Nothobranchius furzeri: one gene and its partners. The protein of the gene in region 1 interacts with the protein of each later gene in a pairwise test. Links are inferred from orthologs where the notes say so. Each region holds a gene or a part of one and is shown in the gene's direction. Other genes may lie near its edges. The genes, in order: ccndbp1, cullin-5, pias2 and ilf2.

Region 1 (4,742 bases):
CTGTTGTTTGTAATCAGACCAAGCAGTAAAGGCAGTGTCCCAGGAAGCCACTAAACTCAGCCTAGCCTTCTCCAGACCTCCGCTCCCCTCTTTACAGGTTAGTTTGTTTGTTGTTATAAGTTATTATTCACACAAAACGTAAAGGGACTGTATCATGTTATTTTACACCTTCCAGAACAACTGTCGGCACAGTATATGATAAAATGTTACCATTGGCACGATTAAGTTGTCATCATTTCTGAAATAGAATTTTATTTTTTAAGCCATCCCTTCAACCCAGTAAAAGGGCATTTGGATTTGATGAAGTCCTGTCTCCACCCATAAGAATTCCTCAATGGTACAAGGCTGCAGACCCGGAAACTGCACATTTATGCTGACATGTGCCACTCAGCGATTTCCTATTCACAATCTGTTTATTAAAATGTTTAAAACCTGAGCTAGATGTTCTTTCAAACTTTTCAGTCGTATATGTTTATCTTCCTATCGTTTCTCAGTCCTTCATGATTCAGGCTGTCATGTAAACTTTGTTGTACTGCAGGATGCTGAGAAGTTATCAGAGTCTATCCTGAAGAGCCTCCTGACTCTGTCCACCGTGTATTACTGGCTGCCCAAGAGCTATGGTAACACTCATTAACTACATGATCATTTCTGGGTTTTAATAGTTGACTATGGCTTTGTTTTCAAATTAGAAAATCAATTTTCATAAACATGTCTAAGTAGCCTAAGCAATAGTTACCCTTTTCTATATGTGGATAACCATCTGCTCTGCTTTTCTTGCACAAAAACACATAAGAGCTTGCCTGCTGGTTGAGATGAATTCATTTAAAACTGACCTAAATGTTTGTCTGCTGTCTAAATGAAGTTTGATGTGTTGTTTGGGTTGTGTGTCTCCCGGTGTCTCAGGTGTGACTCTACGTCGACAGGTCAGAGAAGCCACTGTTGGGGTTCTGGAGGGAGTTACACAACTGCTGGAGGTCATACTCAGCTTACCGCTACACAGGTAAACGCTACAGAACTCGGTTAAAACCATTTATTGATTTCACTGTGGAGGGCTTAAGAATTGAAATATCTACCACAGAGTGTAGAAAAAAATGTTAGAGACCAAAATGCAGAAATAAATGGCTATAACAAATATTTAAATCCTTTCGCCTTAATCCCACAAAAGGCTAAGAAGATCAAGCAAAATAAAAACGATACAAAACCAAACTAAAAGGACAACAGACTCATCAGAACTAAACATTATTCATTCTCAGTGTAGTGATAAAAATAGATTTATATCTATATTTCAAATGTGGTGTAGATTTAGCTTGTTTAGTTGTTTATAATCTTATATTAATTAATCGGGGCACCACCAGTTTTGTGAAACTGTACCATTGGATTTAATATCTATATCTTCTCAATGTAATCGGCCTCAAAGTTAACATCAAAAATTAATCTGAAAGCTGAATTCTTGTCAGAATGCGTCGACTATTCTCGAGATCGCTAGACAATGATCAGGCATGATTTAAGTTTTGTGAATTTATTACAAACAGCAGTTGAGACATGACAAAAAGTACCAAACACAGCTTATCGTTTCATGCATGGAATTAAGACAATTGTTAACCCAAAGCGTTATGGCAGTGATAGGAAATAACTGATCTGTATAAAAGGTGGAAACTTGGTGAACCACAAGATGATAGTAAATTGGGGAGTGATTTTTACAGGGGAAACACGTGAATTTTCATGTGTGTTTGTGGGAAGTGGTGAAGTGTGGCTTGTGTTTGTGTGTGTGTGTGTGTGTGTGTGTGTGTGTGTGTGTGTGTGTGTGTACCTTGCATCAGGGTGTGAAACATGTTTTACGAGCTCACAGTAAATGTTGAGTCCTTTGACAGTCGAACACGTCTAGAAGACGATGTTGTGAAAATCTCCTGGATGAGATTGAAGCTGAAGCCACAGGTCCAGGATGTCATCCAGCTGTTCACAAGTTTAGAAAGAAGTCATTTTTAATCAAGTTCAATGCATCGACATATAAATATTGGACATTGGGTTTCCATAGGCTCCAATAACACATTTTTGAAGATAAATGGGAGGTGGTCACCACCGCCATTTTGACCGTGTCACAGGTTCTGTCAAGCCCAGACAATTCCACAAAAGGGAAGAGAGGTGGAGCTGAGGGTGTGGCTGTAAGGCTGGGATCAACTGACGACACCCGGTCGAACTAGCTACAAGCTAACCTACAGCTAACGCGGAGGTGGGAGCTAAGCTAACGGAGGTAGCAACCTAGCTACAACCGGAGTTAACTGTGCACAACACCAGAGCTTCTGAGTCAGAGATACGCCGGGCTAACCGCTGGGTAAAACCGGGTGGAACACAGAGGTCTCCGAGAGCTCCACAAGCCGGCAGCCGCACAGCAGACAAGCGCCGCTGCGATCTGCGATGCGCAGAGCTGCCGCTGGGGAGAACCGGGTGGAAAGGTTTCCATCCCAGAGCTCCACAAGCCAGCAGCCCGCGCAGCAGACAGAAGCCGCGATCAGACAGAGATGCGCCGAGCTGCGGGGAGGGAAGAACTGGGTGGAAAACAGAGGTCTCCCAAGAGCTCCACAAGCTGATAGTCGGAACCCAGCTCCACCAACATGTTATATTTCAACCCATTTTCTAAAGTGCAGCATTATGTTAAATGCACTGGGTTTTACCCTATTACATTTAAATTTCATGGTTAATCAGTACATGTTAAAATCTAAGCTCAGCTCAGCAGTGACCTAAAATACATAAATATAATTTTACTTACCGAAAAAAATGAAGTGGTAACTCCTTGGATGCTCTATTAGTGCAATTAATGCCACAGCAAGTCATTTTGTCCAACAATTGCACAAATAATATCCAAAAAGAATGCACAAACGCTACAACTAATCCAGGCCAGACCGAGGCTCAGACTGAGGCCTTTCCCCGGAGCTAGCTCTGCGGTCACCTGAGTCTGATGCTCATTAATTATACAGAATTTTAGGCTTTTAGTACACTTATTTCTGCTGTGAAATTGGTATTTTTAACATGGGAGTCAATGAGGATTTGCTCGCTTCTGACACCAGCCCCCAGTGGATGAGGGTGGAACTGCAATTTATTTCATTTCCGGAGTTGCTTCAATTTTTCACCCGCATTGTGGGGGCTTGGGCTGGAAGCATGGGGCTGGGAACTCTCCTATTCAAATCATCCCCTGAGAATTCTAACTGAGCCAATAAGCGCTGAACAGCGTGTGTCACACACCACCATGCTGAGTTTCTTATAAACAACGAAGACGCCGTCTGAAGCAGAGTTCGCTGCGGCTCTTTCCTCAGTTCTAAATGACTTGAACACGTTTTTAAAACCGCAACAAGTAGACGTGTTAAAAGCCTTTCTTCTAAAGAAAGATGTTTGCGTCATCGCCAGACACCATTTTTTTACTACAGCTAAAAAACAACAGCGTTGCACATTAAATTTTGGCATTTCCTCCCCTTTTCTGATTGGTTATTCTTTAGCTGGCTTGTCTTGTCCCTCATGGGCCTCTCTGCTGTGAGTAACCAGACCAGTTCTCTGTGTAGACAGTCTGGCAGGCAAGGCCAATAATGAACTGAACTGATAAGTAGGTTCAATTGGAATGTTTACTTAGTGAAGTGCCTTCACTAGACAACGAGACGACTCTTGGCACTACACAAATACACTGAATTGATTTGAATTGAATCAAACAAAAATAATCTGGCACTGGGCGGTCTAGTTGAAAAAGTTCTATTCAGACTCCTCAAGATTAAAAAACAGATGCAAACAAAGAAGTTGTTGGAAGCTCTCAGGTAATAAGAACGAACTAATTTAACTTTCAACAAAACAAAAATAGTTTTTTCCTTCTATAGTCTTAATCTCCATCTTTGTGCATTTCACCGGTTTGTTTCATGCCTCTTCCTCCTCCTCTGCTGTCATCCAGTCTGACCCAGGAACAGCTCACATCAACAGGAGGAGTTTGGACTGCCTGTGACCTGTTTGCCCAGTTACCACGAGGTGAGCTGATTTCACAGGGGCAGTAAAAGGCTGTCCCTGCTCAACACTGTTTTATTTATTTGTTTCTGGCAGCAGACAGTAAGCTTTTCTTGTTTGAATCAAATTCTGGTCTCCTTCATTTTAATCACACATTTAAGAGAATTCTACTAGAAAAAAGTCATTTTTCTGCTTTAATATGATCAGTGTTCATAACACAAAGGCCAAACTGCTTTTTATTTAAATAAGCTCCATTGTTCGGATCAGTGGTGACTTCTTTAGGTCAGTTTTTGTTTGGTTTTAAAACTAACTTTTCATAGTAACCAGCTCCACAAACTGTAATATAATAAAATTGTAATATCCAGAATATTTTATGACACGGCCATATTTAATTAAATTCCTTCTAGTTTATCTTTCACCCCTGTAACTGCACGACTGAACCAAGCAAACGTTTTCTAGCAACATAATCTTCAGTTCCATCCTGTTTTACTGAGACAAAATGTTAATTTACAGATAATAAAGCAGCTCTGCTGGTGGTTCTGTCCGCTCAGATCGGAGTTGTGAAAGATGCCACAGAGGAGATTGAGCAGGTAAACACACACACACACACACACGCACGCACGCACACACACAGCGTTAAATCCACATCTTCTGGGCTCAAAAGCAGCTGATGACTTGCAGAGTCCGCCATTTTCCACAGGGCCAGCCTCGCTGTGCCGAGCGGGCTGGTTGGTAACCAGCAACGGTGCCCTCTACTAGCT
Region 2 (4,742 bases), on another chromosome or scaffold:
CACAAATATGTGTGATGTCATAAATACGCGTGATGTCATAAATACATGTGATGTCATAAATACGTGTGATGTCATAAATACGTGATTCTCCACTTGCTCATTGTTCACGCTGAAAAACACCACACTGCTCTCAAAAGATGCAGAAAGCAAAATTGACTCTTTGTGGAATCGTAAATCTGCATTTGTCTTATTGTGAAATTTACCGGATGCTTCAAACCGGTGCTGTTTTTGATTTCCTGTTTAGCCAGCGGACCTTGATGCATTCTGGAAGCAAGGTACGTCAGAAATCGAGCTCACGCGTATCGTTGGCGACGCGTCTGAAACACGGAGCGACCGGTTAACTAAACCGTAGACTATAACATCTTCTATCGACCACAGAGCCACTCAAGCTCCAGGTGTAAACGGATAATCCAGTCATGTTGATATCATTCATCCTTCTGTCCACTCATCACAGAGCTGCACCTGATGTTCTCCCTGATGGACAAAGTTCCCAGTGGCATCGAGCCCATGCTGAAGGATCTGGAGGATCACATAATGAGCGCCGGCCTGGCTGACATGGTGGCTTCAGCGGAGACCATCACCTCGGTGAGAATCTCACTCACGTTTAAGCTGTTCCCGCTGTCTTTGTTCGCCGGACTGGTCAGAAGGATTATTTATCTGGTCTCTGTTGCAGGATTCAGAGAAATACGTGGAGCAGCTGCTGACCTTGTTTAACCGCTTCAGTCGACTGGTCAAAGAGGCCTTTCAGGACGACCCTCGCTTCCTGACAGCTAGAGACAAAGTCAGTTAGATTTAGTCATTTTCATCTCCTCACCGTGTAAAACTTGCTGACCGACGCTGATTCTTTTCACAGGCGTATAAAGCTGTCGTGAACGATGCCACAATATTTAAACTAGAGCTTCCGATGAAGCAGAAAGCGTAAGAAATCACCTTTAGATGTAGTTTTAGTCGTAAATGATCGACGTCTGCGTGTTCATGTTTGCACACTTTGGTTTTTTTTACAGGGTAGGAATGAAAACTCAGCCGGAGTCGAAGTGTCCAGAGCTGCTGGCCAACTACTGCGACATGCTTCTGAGGAAGACTCCGCTGAGTAAGAAGCTCACCTCTGAGGAGATTGAAGCTAAGCTCAAGGAAGTGGTACGTTTTAGGACCTGTTTGCATGTTTTGGGCACTAATCGTTCCCATCCCCGGGGCTCCTGCAGTGTCCTGAAAACTATTTGTTTTTTATGTTTTCAGGGTCTGGTTAGTTGTGAAAAAGAGGAACATTCGTGTCTCCAGACTTCTGCGCTGCTGTTTCTTTTGCAGCTTGAATAAAAATACAGTTTAGCTAAAATTAATAAGTGTGAGCTGCAGTACCAAGAACTACAATCTTCTAGCAAATATTCTTGGATATTTATCATTTTCTAACGAGAAGTCAAATTGATCAAAATGTCTTTAGGCGTCTCTGAAGGAATTTCAAAGTTACCCATTAAATATTTGCTGCCTTGTCGCTTATTAACTCACCGGTTTACCAGAGATGCAGCATGTTTTTGTGCGGAAAAATAAATATTAGGACGGCATTAGAAGCAGGGATGTGTATTTTTGAAATTCTGGCGATACGATACATATCACGATACAGGGGAGACGATACGATATATCACGATATATTGCGATACATTCATTCAGACGTTACAAGCAATTTTTTTTACTGAATTTATTGTAAGAATGTTCAATAAACAGTCCAAACTGATACGTAACATGTTTAACATGAGGTATCTGAACCATGATGGAGGGATTTACATTTCAGTGGTGGAAACAAAACCCGTTGCACACTGCTGCCAACTAGCGGGTGGCGATTGAATTGCACAAAACGAAAAGAAAATACACAAAAGTTTGCATGTAAATTCTTTCAAGAATTAGATACACGGCTTTTGAATATCGATGTAATAATTGCAGGAAAAAATATGACGATATATTGTCATATCGATATTTCCGATACACGGCTTTTGAATATCGATATAATATTGCTAGAAAAAAATCACGATATATTGACATATCGATATTTCCGATACACGGCTTTTGAATATCGATATAATATTGCTAGAAAAAATATCACGCTATATTGCCATATCGATATTTTCTTACATCCCTAATTAGAAGTAAGTAAATTGATAGCATTTAAAGTTGAAAAATGAATCTGCTTTCCCATATTTTGAAATTTTGTCTTGGTTCAAAAATATGAAATTGAAGAACAGGCTTGATGTTCTTATTTAACGGGTCATCTTTACGAGCTCAGGTGTTGTGTTGATACAGTTATGCCCGTCAGACCGCGTGCTCCTGCGTCAAGAGCGTGCACCAAGCAGTCCGCACGGATCCGGTCGACTGCGCCACGTCTCTAATTATAAGTGAAAATATGTTGGTGAAAAAATGAAAGATGAGCGTTGTTACTTTATTGTTCACTTTGTGGGTGAAAACAAAAAAAGTCATATTTCTATTTCTCACCTGATTATTTTAACAAGCCAAGAACATTTCTTTAAAGACCAAGTTCACTTGTTTTTTCAACACATCTGCGGTGGTCTCTAGTATGAGCTAATGCCTTGTGAGCCCATCTCTGTTGGAATAAAGCTCTGGCGCTCCTGCCTCAGGAAGTAGACGTTAGCAAAAAGGGGGAGGGGAGCAGAGCAGGTGACGGTGGGATTTGGAGTCGTATTTCCTGGTATTTGGACACCTCTCCTCTGATTGGATAACAGCAATGTGACTTTGCTACGGACTCAGTTTTCTCTGCAACGTTGATGTATTATCTCCACAAATAACACAAACCTGAAGGAGCTCTGCTGTGTGGTGGAGTTGCTAATGCTAACGGTTAGCATCTTCTAGCTGAGACGTTCTCTACGGTTTCCTGGACGCTGAACCAACAAGAGCCTTTCCCATCTGTCAAGATGGGTGGGTCCATGAATGCCAATTTGACATTATAACACGCTAATGTCGCTGACTTTTATAACCCACGCATTTCAGGATCTGTTTTCTATCAGAAGCTCATGCAGAAAATAGGGTAGAAGACTATTTTCACATTCAGCCTGCATGTTAAACCCAGAGTGACCGATCGTATTTAAAAAATAACAAATTAAAAAGATGTTTCTCAGTGAACTTGGCCTTTAACAAGAGCCTCATCACTTCTGTGAACATAAGTAGACGGCTCAGTGTTCGTTTCCAGATGTTGAGACAAAAATAACTTTGGTGATGAGATCAGAACAAAAGTGTTTTAATAGGTCGTCTGGTTTTCGGTTTTAGACAACAAAACAACGTCTGCTTTCAGCACTTACTCTTTCATTAAATCAGTCCATAAAAGCGTGTATAATCATATTAGTCTGTCATCAAAATCCAAACATTTCTTTTTCTTTTCATTTTTCCTCCTAAAATTGAAATTTCATATACTGAAAATCAGGCCCTGTCCACACGTAGCCGGGGATCTGCCAAAACGTAGATATTTTCCTACGTTTTGGCCTGTCGTCCACACGAAAACGGAGTTTTTTCACAAGAAAACGGATCTTTTAAAAAACTCCGGCCAAAGTGAAGATCTGCGTTTTCTCCGTTTTGGGTGTCTGCGTGTGGACGGACAAAACCGGAGTTTTAAGGTTCGCAACGTCTTTTTCCGCGACAAAAAATGCTGACATCACGTGTGCGACCTGTGTTTACACTAGCCGACATCATGGATGCCCTCAGAGCTGCGCTCGCTTTATCAATTGTCCAAGCGCTTTCTGCTTGTTTGTTTTTGAAAGCGGAATTACTGCTCCTTGCGGAAGACCACAGACGAAGGACGAGGTTAAGAACGGGGGAAGTACTGCCCCCTACAGGTCTGGCATGTCCTTAACAACGTATTTATCCGGGTACGTGTGGACAGAGTTTGTTTTTAAACGAGGTGGTGTGGATGCAAGTTTTTGGAGGGGCGGATATTTGTTTTTTAAAAACCCCGGCTACGTGTGGACTAGGTCTGAGTTGAGCCATATTGGTACCGGTCCATGTGAAACTGTCCTTCGGTGCACTTTTCCATTTTCTGTTTTTGATCCGAGACTAAAACAGAAAATGTGGACAACAAGATCAGATTTAGAAAAAGACTGTCGTTTTTTTCCTTTTTCCTTTATTTTAGTTTTGGTTTTAAGTTGAAAATGAACGAATGAGCGACACACAGACTCAATCTAATCAACCGTTTGACTTTGTCTAGCTTTTAGTGCTGAAGTACGTCCAGAACAAAGACGTGTTCATGCGATACCACAAAGCCCACCTGACCCGCCGCCTCATCCTGGACATCTCAGCAGACAGCGAGATCGAGGAGAACATGGTGGAGTGGCTCAGGGTACGCATGTGTGGGAAGCCTGTCGTGTTTTTATTTCACTCTGATAAACAAACCGGGATGTGCATTAAAATATCACCTCCTCTATAGTCCTCGTGTCATCATCCTGATTGTTTGATCTGTAGAAACATTTCTTAGAAGCCGATCTTTAATTCTGCAGAAAACATTGTTTTAATGTCTCCGTACAGGAAGTAGGCATGCCGGCTGACTACGTGAACAAATTGGCCCGAATGTTTCAAGACATCAAGGTGTCGGAGGACCTCAACCAGTCCTTTAAAGAGATGCACAAACACAACAAGCTGGCTCTACCAGGTAATGTCGGGTCCATCTACGTCCTGCTCTGGAACAGGCGGGATGTGTCCATGCTGACCCGGGTTCTGGTTGCTCTGCAGCGGACTCCGTCAACATAAAG
Region 3 (5,416 bases), on another chromosome or scaffold:
CTGTCACATCACTAACATTCAGATATATGCAAAAAAGGAGATCATGAGTATAAAACTTGTAACTCTAGCAGATAACAGGACTAAATGATTTTTAAACTTTAAATACAAAGGGCGGTGACGTTTATTGAGCCGTCGCAGCTCCTCAAAAACCACAAATAAAATGAAATATTGCTGTGGATCCATTTTCAACGTTGCTACTAGCTTGTTAGCCTGTTTGCCGCCATCACGGTAGCTAGGCAACTTGACCTGGGGGCGGGAATAAAAACGAGGCTAGTACTGTCCAAATTCAGAGCCGCTGACTTCCGGTTTTAGCGGTCTTGCAAGGACCCGGCCTTGCTAGACTGGCGAGGACCCGTACTCACAAGCATCCTTCCTCTGGATTCGGACACAGCCAGTGACTTGTTCAAAAGATCAGTGGGTTTGCCTCCATCTAGTGTCAAACCCAATAACTACACCTTCAGTTAAAATGGTTCTCACAAGTTTGGTTGTATAGAGCTCCGGACCCCACGTGACTCTCAGTGAGTAGACGCCATTTTGGCAGGTAAAAAAAGGTAAACAAACACATGAACATGAACAGGATCGGCTTGGATTTTACTTCGTTGGAGTTTACTTCACACTTTAAAACCGAAGAAATCGTTTTACACAGTCAGAAATTAAATAGACTAAACATCTCTGACCCTTACCGTGTCCCTGGGATACTTTTTAAAAACGCCAGAAGCTGTCGGAGCGGACTTCTTACTGGACCTGGCCGGGGAACCCCTTGGGATTCCCCCGGAGGAGCTGGCTTTGGCGGCTGGGGGAGAGGGAAGTCAGGGCCTCTCGACGCTACTGTCCCCGCAACCCGACTCTGGATAAGCGGATGAAAATGGATGGATGGATGGACAAATAACAGATTTACACGTAAGTAGTTTAAATAGAGTGCTGTGCTGTTTGAATGTATAAACTGAACGCCAAGAGAAATCACTAGTTTGATTTTTTTTTCCGTGAATAAAATAAATATGTCAGGCAGGAACGTCTCAGGATCTGTCTGAGAGCTGTCTCGGTGACACAGATAATTGCAATCCAAAGTGTTTTTGATGTGTGATCTGACACTTGATCAACCATTGCTTAAAAATTAAATACAGCTTAGCCGGTTAATTGCTGTGATCATAAAACACGGAAACGGCAGCACGCAGAAATCACGAGGCAACGTTTTACGTGATGTTTACTTGTTGCTATGAGTAATAAGACAGAAAAAGCCACGCCAAAATAAGTTTAGGAAGCCCGCTAAGAATCGTAATAAAAGCATTTAAAAATAAATACCACACACAGTTGAGGAAACGTTAGTTTAAGTACCTGATATGAAGCGGTCGCTGCATAAGTGAAATCCTTTACTCTCGGGGTCCCACAGCTCCATTTTAGCCCGGTCACCAGTGCATTTTATTACAATGATCCAACGTTTGCGGCGTTCCGGATCTTGGGGAATCCTGTAGAAGGATCTTCCCTTGACTTGTCCCCGTCTGTTCTGGCATCCTGGGGCACAACAGGAATCGACCATATTTCCCGTGTGAGATTTATAACATAGTCTAGCTGCCGGCTTCTGCCTGCCAAAATGGTGCCGTTTCGATTTGAACTGTTGCATGCTGGGAGAAGTGACGTCAACTCCCGGAGCTCTATAGAAAAAACAAACACATTCAATTCATTGTTAACAGTTTGATAATTTTTGGGAAATTCTTTATTCACAAATGCAGTTTTATGAAAGTGAAGCCAAGCCTGTCATTTTTCCAAAAATGATTTTATTACTTTTTGCAAATCCCTTAAAAAGGTAAATAATATACAGGCTGTTGAACTTGTCAGTGTTGTTGAAGATCTTTTGAACTAAAGTCCTCTGTCTGTTACTTTACCTTATACTTTATCATTTATAAATCTTGTTATTTCTGCAGCTTAGACATTTTTCCAATTGTATTTGATAAAAGCTGTTCGTTGCCTACTGAGTTTTATTGTTTGTTATTAAAGTGTAATGTGATTGATGTTCAATTAAAAACAAGTTTCCACTTCCTGTTTCTGGTTCCGGTCTTTCAATGCACTTGGCGGCGATAACGTTCTGTTAGGGCGGGTCAAAGACAACCTCCGAGAGTCACGAAGAAGAAATGAGGCATATCAAGATGGCGGACTACCGAGAGTTACAGGTAAGTGAAAACATTCACATTAATTCTGACAAATTTCAGTCAACGAAGCGCTTGCTGTTTCCCTTTAAACGGAGCGTCTCCTGTGTGAAGCCCCTTATCTCTGGTTGAGACACTCAAAACTAAACACGGGTTTAGTTTCGACTCGGATATTTGGTGCTTTTTGGTTAGCTCTTATGCTAACAGATGTGTTGTATGTGTTTGTGAGCCGCTGAAAACCTCCCGCTAGAGTGTACTTGTAGCTACCGTATTACATACACGTTGTTGAATACAACCAGGGTTAGGAACAGCTGGTTATGCGGTGTTTGGACGGAGTACTTGTTCTGCTAGTTAGATTATGATTACACATAACCGTGACCTTTCGAGTCAGTGTAACCAGTCCAGGAGAACACTAACCCTGCTTTCCAGGGCCACTATCCTGCATGTTTTGTGTCTCTTCTCCAACACGTTAGGTTGTAGTCTATGGGCTTGTGCAGCGCGTGATGAACTGCTGAACAGGTGATTCCACCACAGAGAAATAGCGAGAAGATGCTGGGTTGGGTTATAGAAGCTATTTATGACAGCTTACAGTCATGAAGTAGAATAACAAAAATAATAAGGCATTTTATTTAAGCTCACTGTACAGAAGACGGTGTCGGTACAGGATCTGCTCGGGTGCAAGATCGGCTCGGGGTCCGTCGACTGCCGATGACGTCAAAGTAGTTGATTGGCTGAACATGAACCTCACGGAATTACGTAATCACGTTACGTTGTTATCACGTTACGTTGGTCCAGGCAAATCTTTCTATTGGAAAGATGGACAACTTTTACAAAGAAATCCATCATTACCTCTTTGAAAATACACTTTTAGCATAGAGCTGCATGCATATTAGGGCTGAACGATTAACTGCATGTGCAATTAAATTGCGATGTGACAAAAGGAGGGGGGGGTTGAGTTCAGATGGTGCTTGCACAGGTGCATGCAGCGAGCTGCTCGTCCTCTTTACGCAGTGGAACCTTGGATTTTATTGGCTTTTTATGTATTTTTGTTGTGTCTAATGCTTTTTTGAATGGTGTGGCTTCTCTGGTGACTTATGATCGAACTGCGCTGCTGAGGCTTCGTCCTGTTGATGTAGCGGGCGCTGCACGCTGGGAACCTCACGGATGGTGTTGTTGTTTGGACTGCCCGTGTGCTCTCCCCCCCCAAGCCGAGATGTGTCGGCCCTCTGTCCGCCCCAGCTCGAGAAGAAAGCATCGTAGAAGACGGGAAAGCGAGGTAGCCGGCGCATGTTACCCGACATGGGCAACAAACAAAGGAAAACAACAACAGAAAGAAAAGAACAACCAAAGCAAAGAACCAGAAACCCAGAAAGACAAGAACCAAAACCAGTGATAACCTTACCATGCATCAAAGGCATAACAGAAAAAATAAGAGCAACAATGAAAAAACACAACATAAACACACCAACAAAACCATACACAACAGTTAAAAACAGACTAGTACACCCAAAAGACAAGATACTAGCTGGACTTAAATGTGGAGTCGTTTACGAAATCCCATGCAAACTCTGCAATAAAACATACGTAGGAGAAACCGGACACCAACTCAACACACGAACAATAGAACATATAAAGGAGTGCGAGAAAGAGGCAAATCGAAAACACACAAGAGCAGCAAAAGAAGAAGCAGAAAGCACAATAAAGAAGTCAGCCGTAACAGATCACTGCACAAGAGAAGAGCATATAATGGACTGGGACAACACAAGGATCATAAAAGAAGCTATCGAGATAAGGAGACGTGGATGTGGGACCATGAACAGAGACGATGGTGTTTACTCGTTGGATCGCGCATGGGACTGCATCGTCGGAGAGGGGAGATCGGGCAGCAGAGGGCGACAACGTCCTCTGCTGCCCGAGGATAAACGGAGTAGGAAGTGACGCCACCATCAGCGTAGGGCTGGGCGATATGACGATTTTAGACTGTTTTACGATCTATACATCTGACGGTCTGTCATTTTTGAGAGACCATTTTATCACGATTCTGCTGTTGAATTTCTGCCTCTGAATGAAAAGGGAACTTACCCCAGGCGAATGACACGCCTTTGTTTGACCCTTAACCAATCAGAATGAGTCATAGTAATATATTAGTGCCCCGCTTGTTTTCACCTGTGTGTGAGCAAACATGGCTTCGGCTGCGGCTGAGAGCGACAACGAGGTTTTCGTTCCGAAGAGGAACACCTTTTCTATAGTACCGACCGAGCACCGATTAACGTCATTTCAAACGGTGCCTCGTTTCGGTACCCGTCCTTCATAACGAGAACTTGCCAAGAAAGCTGCGCATACGCAAGAGCGTTATGTCGTCGGTCCCTGCGAGCGAGTTGTAATCAGAGCAGCATGGTAGAAAGAAGAACGCACGCTAACGCTTGGGTCCACTTCACTAAATGTGACGGGTAACTGGGTGATGAAACCAGCGACAGACAACGATCTAAGTGAGTCATCATCTTAATCTGCTCTGGTAGGTAAATAAAATGTTTAAGATAACGTTACCTTGATATGTTAGCTTCCGTTTTGCTAATGGTGCGTTCGCTTTCTCCTCGGAACTCCGAATTTCCGACTAGATGAACATGAACGCGCTCTAAAGTTTGGCTTCACTTTACTAAACGTGACCGGTGATTGGGTGAAGATGAAACCAGCGACAACGATCTAAGTGTGAGGCATCATCGTTTTAATCTGCTCCAGCAGTTAAATAAACTGTTAAAGATAACGTTAGCTTAATATGTTAGCTTCCATTGCCACCGTTGTTATCAGCTAATGGTGCGTTCACTTTCTCCTCGGAAATTCTAACTTCCCAGTAGGAAAAATCAAATGAAAAAGGACGGCAAAAGGAATGAAGATACACAGTAAATTTAGTTCACAGTAGGGATGGGTACCTTTGACATTTGAATCGATCCGGTACTAATTCCCGGTACCTACGAGTCGATACCGGTACTTAACGGTACCAATTTTCGATACTTTTGAGTGTTTATTATTTTAATTCTCTTTTATAATTAAATATATATTTTTCTCAATATATAACCATATTTGGTAAATATCAAGATAAATAACATACAAGTTTGTATTTTAACATCGTCCTTGTAGTTTTATAAGCTGATAATTAAACAGAAGCAAACATCTTTACTGTGAACTAAATTTACTGTGTATCTTCATTCCTTTTGCCGTCCTTTTTCATTTGATTTTTCCTACTGGGAAGTTAGAATTTCCGAGGAGAAAGC
Region 4 (5,539 bases), on another chromosome or scaffold:
AAAATTATTAAATAAAATCATCACTCCTGCCGAGTCAGCAGTACAATGTGAAAAAAGAAAACCATCTCCCCATTGATGTTTCCAGAAAGTTTCATCATCACTACTAGAATGTGTCTCTTGCAAAAACAAAATGTTTGCCTTAATTTCTTTGCAAAATAAAGAAATGGCCTTGCGTTTCACTTTGTTTTTTAAGCCTCGAACATTTAAAGAGCTTATTTGAACAGACAATTAAAGGTAAAAAAAAAAGATCAAGAAGACACAACGCAAGAACAAATTAAACTTTTCCCTTCTACTCTTATTCTCTAGAAAAATGAACTGTTTCTAGCAGGAGTAAGCATGAAGTCCTACTTATCTTGTAAATACAGTATTCAGATTGTCATTGTGACCCCCCCCCCTTTTTTTTTATTAGGAACCAGAACTTTTTATCTACCTCCAGATTTACCTATGCCATTCCACTTTTATTATTTCTGCATGCATATTATGGGTCAATTCTTTTGCCATCTGTTATAGCAAACCCGTCTTTCAGGAATGCTCTTCTGCCGTTGTTTTGAGCCTCCAGCTCCTTGGGCCACAGCTTGATCCGAGCTTCCTTATCCTCTTTGGAGAAGTCCTCTTTAACGTTTATGTGCAGTTCTTTGCAAACCCTGGCCTCCCTGGATTTCCTCCACACTTCATCCCTTGCTGCCCTCATGCTAAACTGAACGATGATCGGTCTTGGCAGCTTGTTGTTTGCAGCGTCGCCCTTCTTCCCGATTCGATGTACTGTATCCACCATGAGCTGCAGCTTTTCCACTGACACAGGAATCACTCTCGTCAGGATGCCAATCACTCTATCCCGTGTATTTTCACCCTCTTTTTCTGCCAGGCCAAGTAGTCTGAGGTCCCATCTTCTTCGGTATCTTGAGTTTTCCAGACATCTTTCCTTCAGTTCTTTGTTTTCCTTCGTTAAAGCCTCCATCCTTGTTTTGAGCTTGTCTGTTTCCTTTTTGTTTTCTTCAGTTGCCATTTGCCTCTATCCTAAGGTCAAAAGCTTTCAGATTTTTGTCTAGCAGATCAAATCTTTCTGGAAAGGCCAGCAGGGCTTCATAGATGTTTTCATTGCATATCTGTTTGCCAGTAGCTTTATTTTTCAGGTTTTTTTTTTTGATTGGGGCTTTTTATTGGAGTGTGATCACCAGTGGGTCTTGCTGCTATCTGTTGATGCTCCATCTCCTCAATGTCTTCGTCCGCACATGCTTCCTTCATTGCCGCAAGGTTGTAGTCATGGTCGGAAAGACTACCTATTAGCGCCGCCATGTTAGTCATTTGATTTTTTGTGTTTGCTACTTTATCTGTCCAATAACTCTTCAAAAACATGTTCCACAGGTACCGATTTCCTTTCAATTTCGTTCTGAATAACTGTTTATCAGAGAATTACTTCTCAGAACATTTAAAACCCACCGTTTTATCAGACCTGCCAAGTTTCCAGCACCTGCTCACTCTGCCATCTTGAATTCCCCCTCATGCACCACTAAACAACAGTGCTAGAGGAGAGCAGCTGTCCGAAGTAAGATGGCTGCCGCGTACGGACGTCAGGGTCCATTGACGAACAGCGCAGGTGAGAATCAGTGCATCTTTTGTATGACAGAATGTGAAACTATTGAGCACCTTTTTCTTCTCGTGTTCAGTAACACTTGGTTTTGAGGAGGATGTTTATCGATTGGTAAATATTGAGAGAAATGATGTAATCTAAAGTACTGATATACATGGATGCTCTTCCAAAAAAGATATCCAAAATGGTGAACATTACCAAATACATAAGACTAAATGGAAAAACAGCAAGCCTAACATTAATCATTTTAAAAATTAAATAAAACAATTTACAACATCTCAAAGAGTATTTTCAGAAAATAACCAATCTATAACTGAGTTGTGCGAAACAATGTCTGAGTTTCTTGTTCTTTAAATTACAGTCCAATGAATCAAACATGTTTGAACTATAATGCTGAAATATCAACCTCTGAACGTTTTTTGTTTGTTGTTGATGTTATTTTATTTTTTGTTTTAATTATTATTATTTTGCATCATAATTTATTTTATGGTAGTGCCATGCGGTAAATGTTGCAAGTTCTAAATGTCATTTTTATTTTCCTCAAGTGCGGTCATTTGTATTTGTTATATTCTTCAGTACGTTGAATGTAGGTTACATTGTAAACTGAATGTATGTGAAAACGAAGATTGAAATAAAGTTAAAAAAGAGACTTGACCAGAAAGACGTGAATGAATAAAGTTACGCTATGGCAGCAGCAAAAAAATATACCAATAAATAAAAAAAACAGCGCATCTAGCTATAATATGTGATATCTATGCGGTCCACACTCCATTCCAGTTGGGGGCGGTAATGTACCACGGCGTTGGTGACGTAAAACAGAAAGAAAGAAACAATTCCGCCGGAAACAGAAGTCTCTTTGTGCCACACTAGTCCCTTCCGCAGTTAGCCTCCGCTCATTCATTAAACCATATCAAACCGTTCTCCCTGTTTTCTCTCATCAAACCATCAAAACGTCGTACGCAATGAGGTAACGCTGACTAACCGGACCTGGTTGTGTTGGCTTTACGCTAACTAGCCTGTAATCAGTGTCATTAGCTGTTAGCCATTAGCTCGGTATAGCTTTCTGTTAAAGTCTCGTTCTGAACGTGGTGTTACTTATTTATTCCTCCAATAACAGTGTTACTGATAACTCTTACGTTTTATCGACAGCAAGTTAACACTGAGGTAGCGAATTAGGACTATAACACACGTGTGTTAGCTAAGATCAGCGTTTTTATTTATCCTTTAGTCTGGCAGTAGCGAGCGCACTGGACTGATCTGGGTTTTGTGTTTGTGAACAGAGGAGACCGCGGCAGGGGCCGAGGACTCCGCTTCGGAGCCCGGGGAGGCATGGTCCAGGGGTGAGTACCTTACTGATCTCTGTTCCTGTTCCATACTGGTTCTTTCAGTCAGGTCCTTGATCTGGTTGTAGAAAGTATCTGACAGTTAGTCTTAAGTTTGCTGGTTCGATTCCTGCTTCTGGATGGAACTCGGACCCATAAGCCATCAGAGTAGAAAAGTCTAAGTGAGAAAGATCTTCAGAAGTGGAAAAAGAAGCCTCTTGTGATTACACAGGACGACGGCACTCTCCCCAGAACATCTCCAGAAGGACTTCTTCAGAGCAGTTAGATCTTTCCATCCTGTCTGAAAGCAGCGTCCTGTTTCTGTCTCTTTAAACTTCATTTTTTCCCAAATGAAACAATCCATTGATTTCTGGATCCTTAAAAAGCTGCTGTAAAGTCTGGAATCATCAGCTCATGTTGTGCGTGGTCCTGGTGATGAAGCTAAGACGGATTGTTGGTTATTGTGCTGAAGCAAAAAGAACCGCTGCCTTGGTTATAACTGAAACCTCCAAATCATTGTTAAAATCTACTTTTTGGGTTTGAACATCAGCTTTCATAAGGTCCCGGTCAGACGTTCTGGTTCTGACTAGTAGGGACATTTGTGCCAGTCCACCGATTCTCCGTTCTTCTCTCTGTCCCGCTCAGGTACCGTCCTTTTGTCCCGCACATCCCATTTGACTTCTATGTGGTGAGTTCACGCATGTGACAGACAACAGAACAGCATGCAGGAATAATCAGTAACCATGGCTACAACTAGCATCTGGTAGAATCCGGTCCATTTTGTGGTTCTGAAGCAGACTGTTGTCCTTCCCCAGTGTGAGATGGCCTTCCCCAGAGTGAAACCTGCTCCTGATGAGACGGCGTTTAGCGAGTGTCTGCTGAAGAGGAACCAGGACCTGAGCCCCTCACCTGCAGAACAGGTCAGCTAGGTATTCCAGTTCAACACCTCACTGGTCTCATCGTGCTGTAGGTTACTTACCTGACGTCTTCATTTCCTTCTGCTTCTAGTCTTCCATCTTGTCTTTGGTCACAAAGATCAATAATGTCATCGACAACCTGATTGTTGCCCCTGGTAGCTTTGAAGTGGTGAGTGGTGAACATCTGACCTGTAGAGCTGCCATGTTTACTGAAACTGGTGTAAATGAGTTGGTGTCAGTAAGGCTGTAATGATCTGTGTTTGCTGTCACGTCCTAATCTGGGATTAAATGTTTCTCTTCCGTCATGACCTTCCTAGACCTCCCACAGGCTGAGCTTTATGTAGCTGAGCGGTTTTATCTTTTAGAACGCATCAAAGCCATCCCGCATGCTTACGTTATCTGTCCACAGCAAATAGAAGAAGTTCGTCAGGTGGGTTCATACAAGAAGGGAACCATGACAACTGGACACAACGTCGCTGACCTCGTTGTCATCCTCAAGATCCTCCCTACACGTGAGTCATTGTTCATTCAGACCAGCCCTGGGTCCGTCACTAGGGCCTCATCCTGCTGGAACAGCTTCAACAGATGTTCTGGTGAAACCACTGAGCACATCTGGACTCGTGTTGGTAAATACATGGCTAGTCCCATCATGCAGCCCGACCGGACCGGCTATCCAGCAGCTAAGCTGTTTAGCTTTAGCCTCTTTAAGCTTAACAGTGATGACGAAACTCGTCAGACCGTACAGGAACTCGAGAACAGAAGTGTCTGAATCCTAAATGTGTTTATGAGGCAACTTGGTGTCATTTAAACCCCGAATACCGTCGGTAGAGTGGTGATTAATACTGAGTCCAGTGTTAAACACCTGGAGCTAAAGCTGACTCTGCTCTTCATGTTTAATCTAACAGTGGAGGCAGTGGCTGCGCTCGGGAACAAGGTGGTGGAGACTCTTCGCACCCAGGACCCCGCAGAAGGTACGGGGGTGGGTCTGTGTGTGTGTGTGGGGGGGTGTATCTGCAGCTCTGGACCTTACCTAAAGGCTGAAGTTGGTCAGAGTGCCCTCAAGAAACAGAGTGAGCATCTTTAGTGAGTTAATGATGTAATAAACACTAATGGTGTGTGTGTGTGTGTGTGTGTGTGTGTGTGTGTGTGTGTGTGTGTGTGTGTGTGTGTGTGTGTGTGTGTGTGTGTGTGCACCCGCGCTTTCAGTTCTCTCCATGCTGACCAATGAGACGGGCTTTGAGATCAGCTCAGCTGATGCAACCGTTAAGATCCTCATCACCACTGTCCCGCCCAACCTACGCAAGCTGGATCCAGAGCTGCACCGTATGATACACACACACACACCCACACATGCATACACACACACACACACATGCACACACACAGACACTCGTTTTTTAAGGACTTCTCCGTTTTAAACGGTTCTTTCCACTGAACCTTTGATCTCTAATCTGTACAAGTGGTGTGAGTGTGTAAGACGGTGTTTGGGTAGCCTCTGGACCGTGTGTGTGTGGGATGACAGAATCGTTGTTGGCCATATTTCTCAGATTGTTTGGCTGCAGCAATATTATTGTAATGATGTGACTAGTAAAGTTTTAAACAGGTCATTTCAGGTCACCGTCGTTAGGCTGTGAGAGGAGTTAACGAGCTGTGGTGGACCAGAACCGATGCTAAAACGCAGCGTAGCTATTAGCTAATGCCTCATGCAC

The links.
Region 2: the proteins of ccndbp1 (region 1) and cullin-5 interact in binary tests that used the Homo sapiens proteins (3 or more experiments, as listed by UniProt). The two-hybrid records come from large-scale screens. The link is inferred for Nothobranchius furzeri from reciprocal best matches to the Homo sapiens genes CCNDBP1 and CUL5.
Region 3: the proteins of ccndbp1 (region 1) and pias2 interact in binary tests that used the Homo sapiens proteins (3 or more experiments, as listed by UniProt). The two-hybrid records come from large-scale screens. The link is inferred for Nothobranchius furzeri from reciprocal best matches to the Homo sapiens genes CCNDBP1 and PIAS2.
Region 4: the proteins of ccndbp1 (region 1) and ilf2 interact in a two-hybrid assay, tested with the Homo sapiens proteins (2 studies listed by BioGRID and IntAct). The two-hybrid records come from large-scale screens. The link is inferred for Nothobranchius furzeri from reciprocal best matches to the Homo sapiens genes CCNDBP1 and ILF2.

The regions. Positions count from the first base shown.
Region 1 is NC_091743.1:73,299,978-73,304,719, reverse strand, and holds part of ccndbp1 (cyclin-D1-binding protein 1 homolog), read left to right. Parts: intron 1-17; coding exon 18-97; intron 98-538; coding exon 539-620; intron 621-903; coding exon 904-1,000; intron 1,001-3,931; coding exon 3,932-4,005; intron 4,006-4,494; coding exon 4,495-4,571; intron 4,572-4,742. UniProt on the Homo sapiens protein: May negatively regulate cell cycle progression. May act at least in part via inhibition of the cyclin-D1/CDK4 complex, thereby preventing phosphorylation of RB1 and blocking E2F-dependent transcription.
Region 2 is NC_091750.1:27,990,786-27,995,527, reverse strand, and holds part of cullin-5, read left to right. Parts: intron 1-454; coding exon 455-585; intron 586-673; coding exon 674-781; intron 782-853; coding exon 854-918; intron 919-1,004; coding exon 1,005-1,137; intron 1,138-4,201; coding exon 4,202-4,333; intron 4,334-4,518; coding exon 4,519-4,642; intron 4,643-4,722; coding exon 4,723-4,742. UniProt on the Homo sapiens protein: Core component of multiple cullin-5-RING E3 ubiquitin-protein ligase complexes (ECS complexes, also named CRL5 complexes), which mediate the ubiquitination and subsequent proteasomal degradation of target proteins.
Region 3 is NC_091757.1:20,892,076-20,897,491, forward strand, and holds the start of pias2 (E3 SUMO-protein ligase PIAS2), read left to right. Parts: upstream 1-2,075; 5' UTR 2,076-2,168; intron 2,169-5,416. UniProt on the Homo sapiens protein: Functions as an E3-type small ubiquitin-like modifier (SUMO) ligase, stabilizing the interaction between UBE2I and the substrate, and as a SUMO-tethering factor.
Region 4 is NC_091751.1:23,257,961-23,263,499, reverse strand, and holds the start of ilf2 (interleukin enhancer-binding factor 2 homolog), read left to right. Parts: upstream 1-2,400; 5' UTR 2,401-2,553; coding exon 2,554-2,558; intron 2,559-2,871; coding exon 2,872-2,931; intron 2,932-3,558; coding exon 3,559-3,601; intron 3,602-3,728; coding exon 3,729-3,833; intron 3,834-3,921; coding exon 3,922-3,999; intron 4,000-4,239; coding exon 4,240-4,342; intron 4,343-4,735; coding exon 4,736-4,801; intron 4,802-5,036; coding exon 5,037-5,153; intron 5,154-5,539. UniProt on the Homo sapiens protein: Chromatin-interacting protein that forms a stable heterodimer with interleukin enhancer-binding factor 3/ILF3 and plays a role in several biological processes including transcription, innate immunity or cell growth.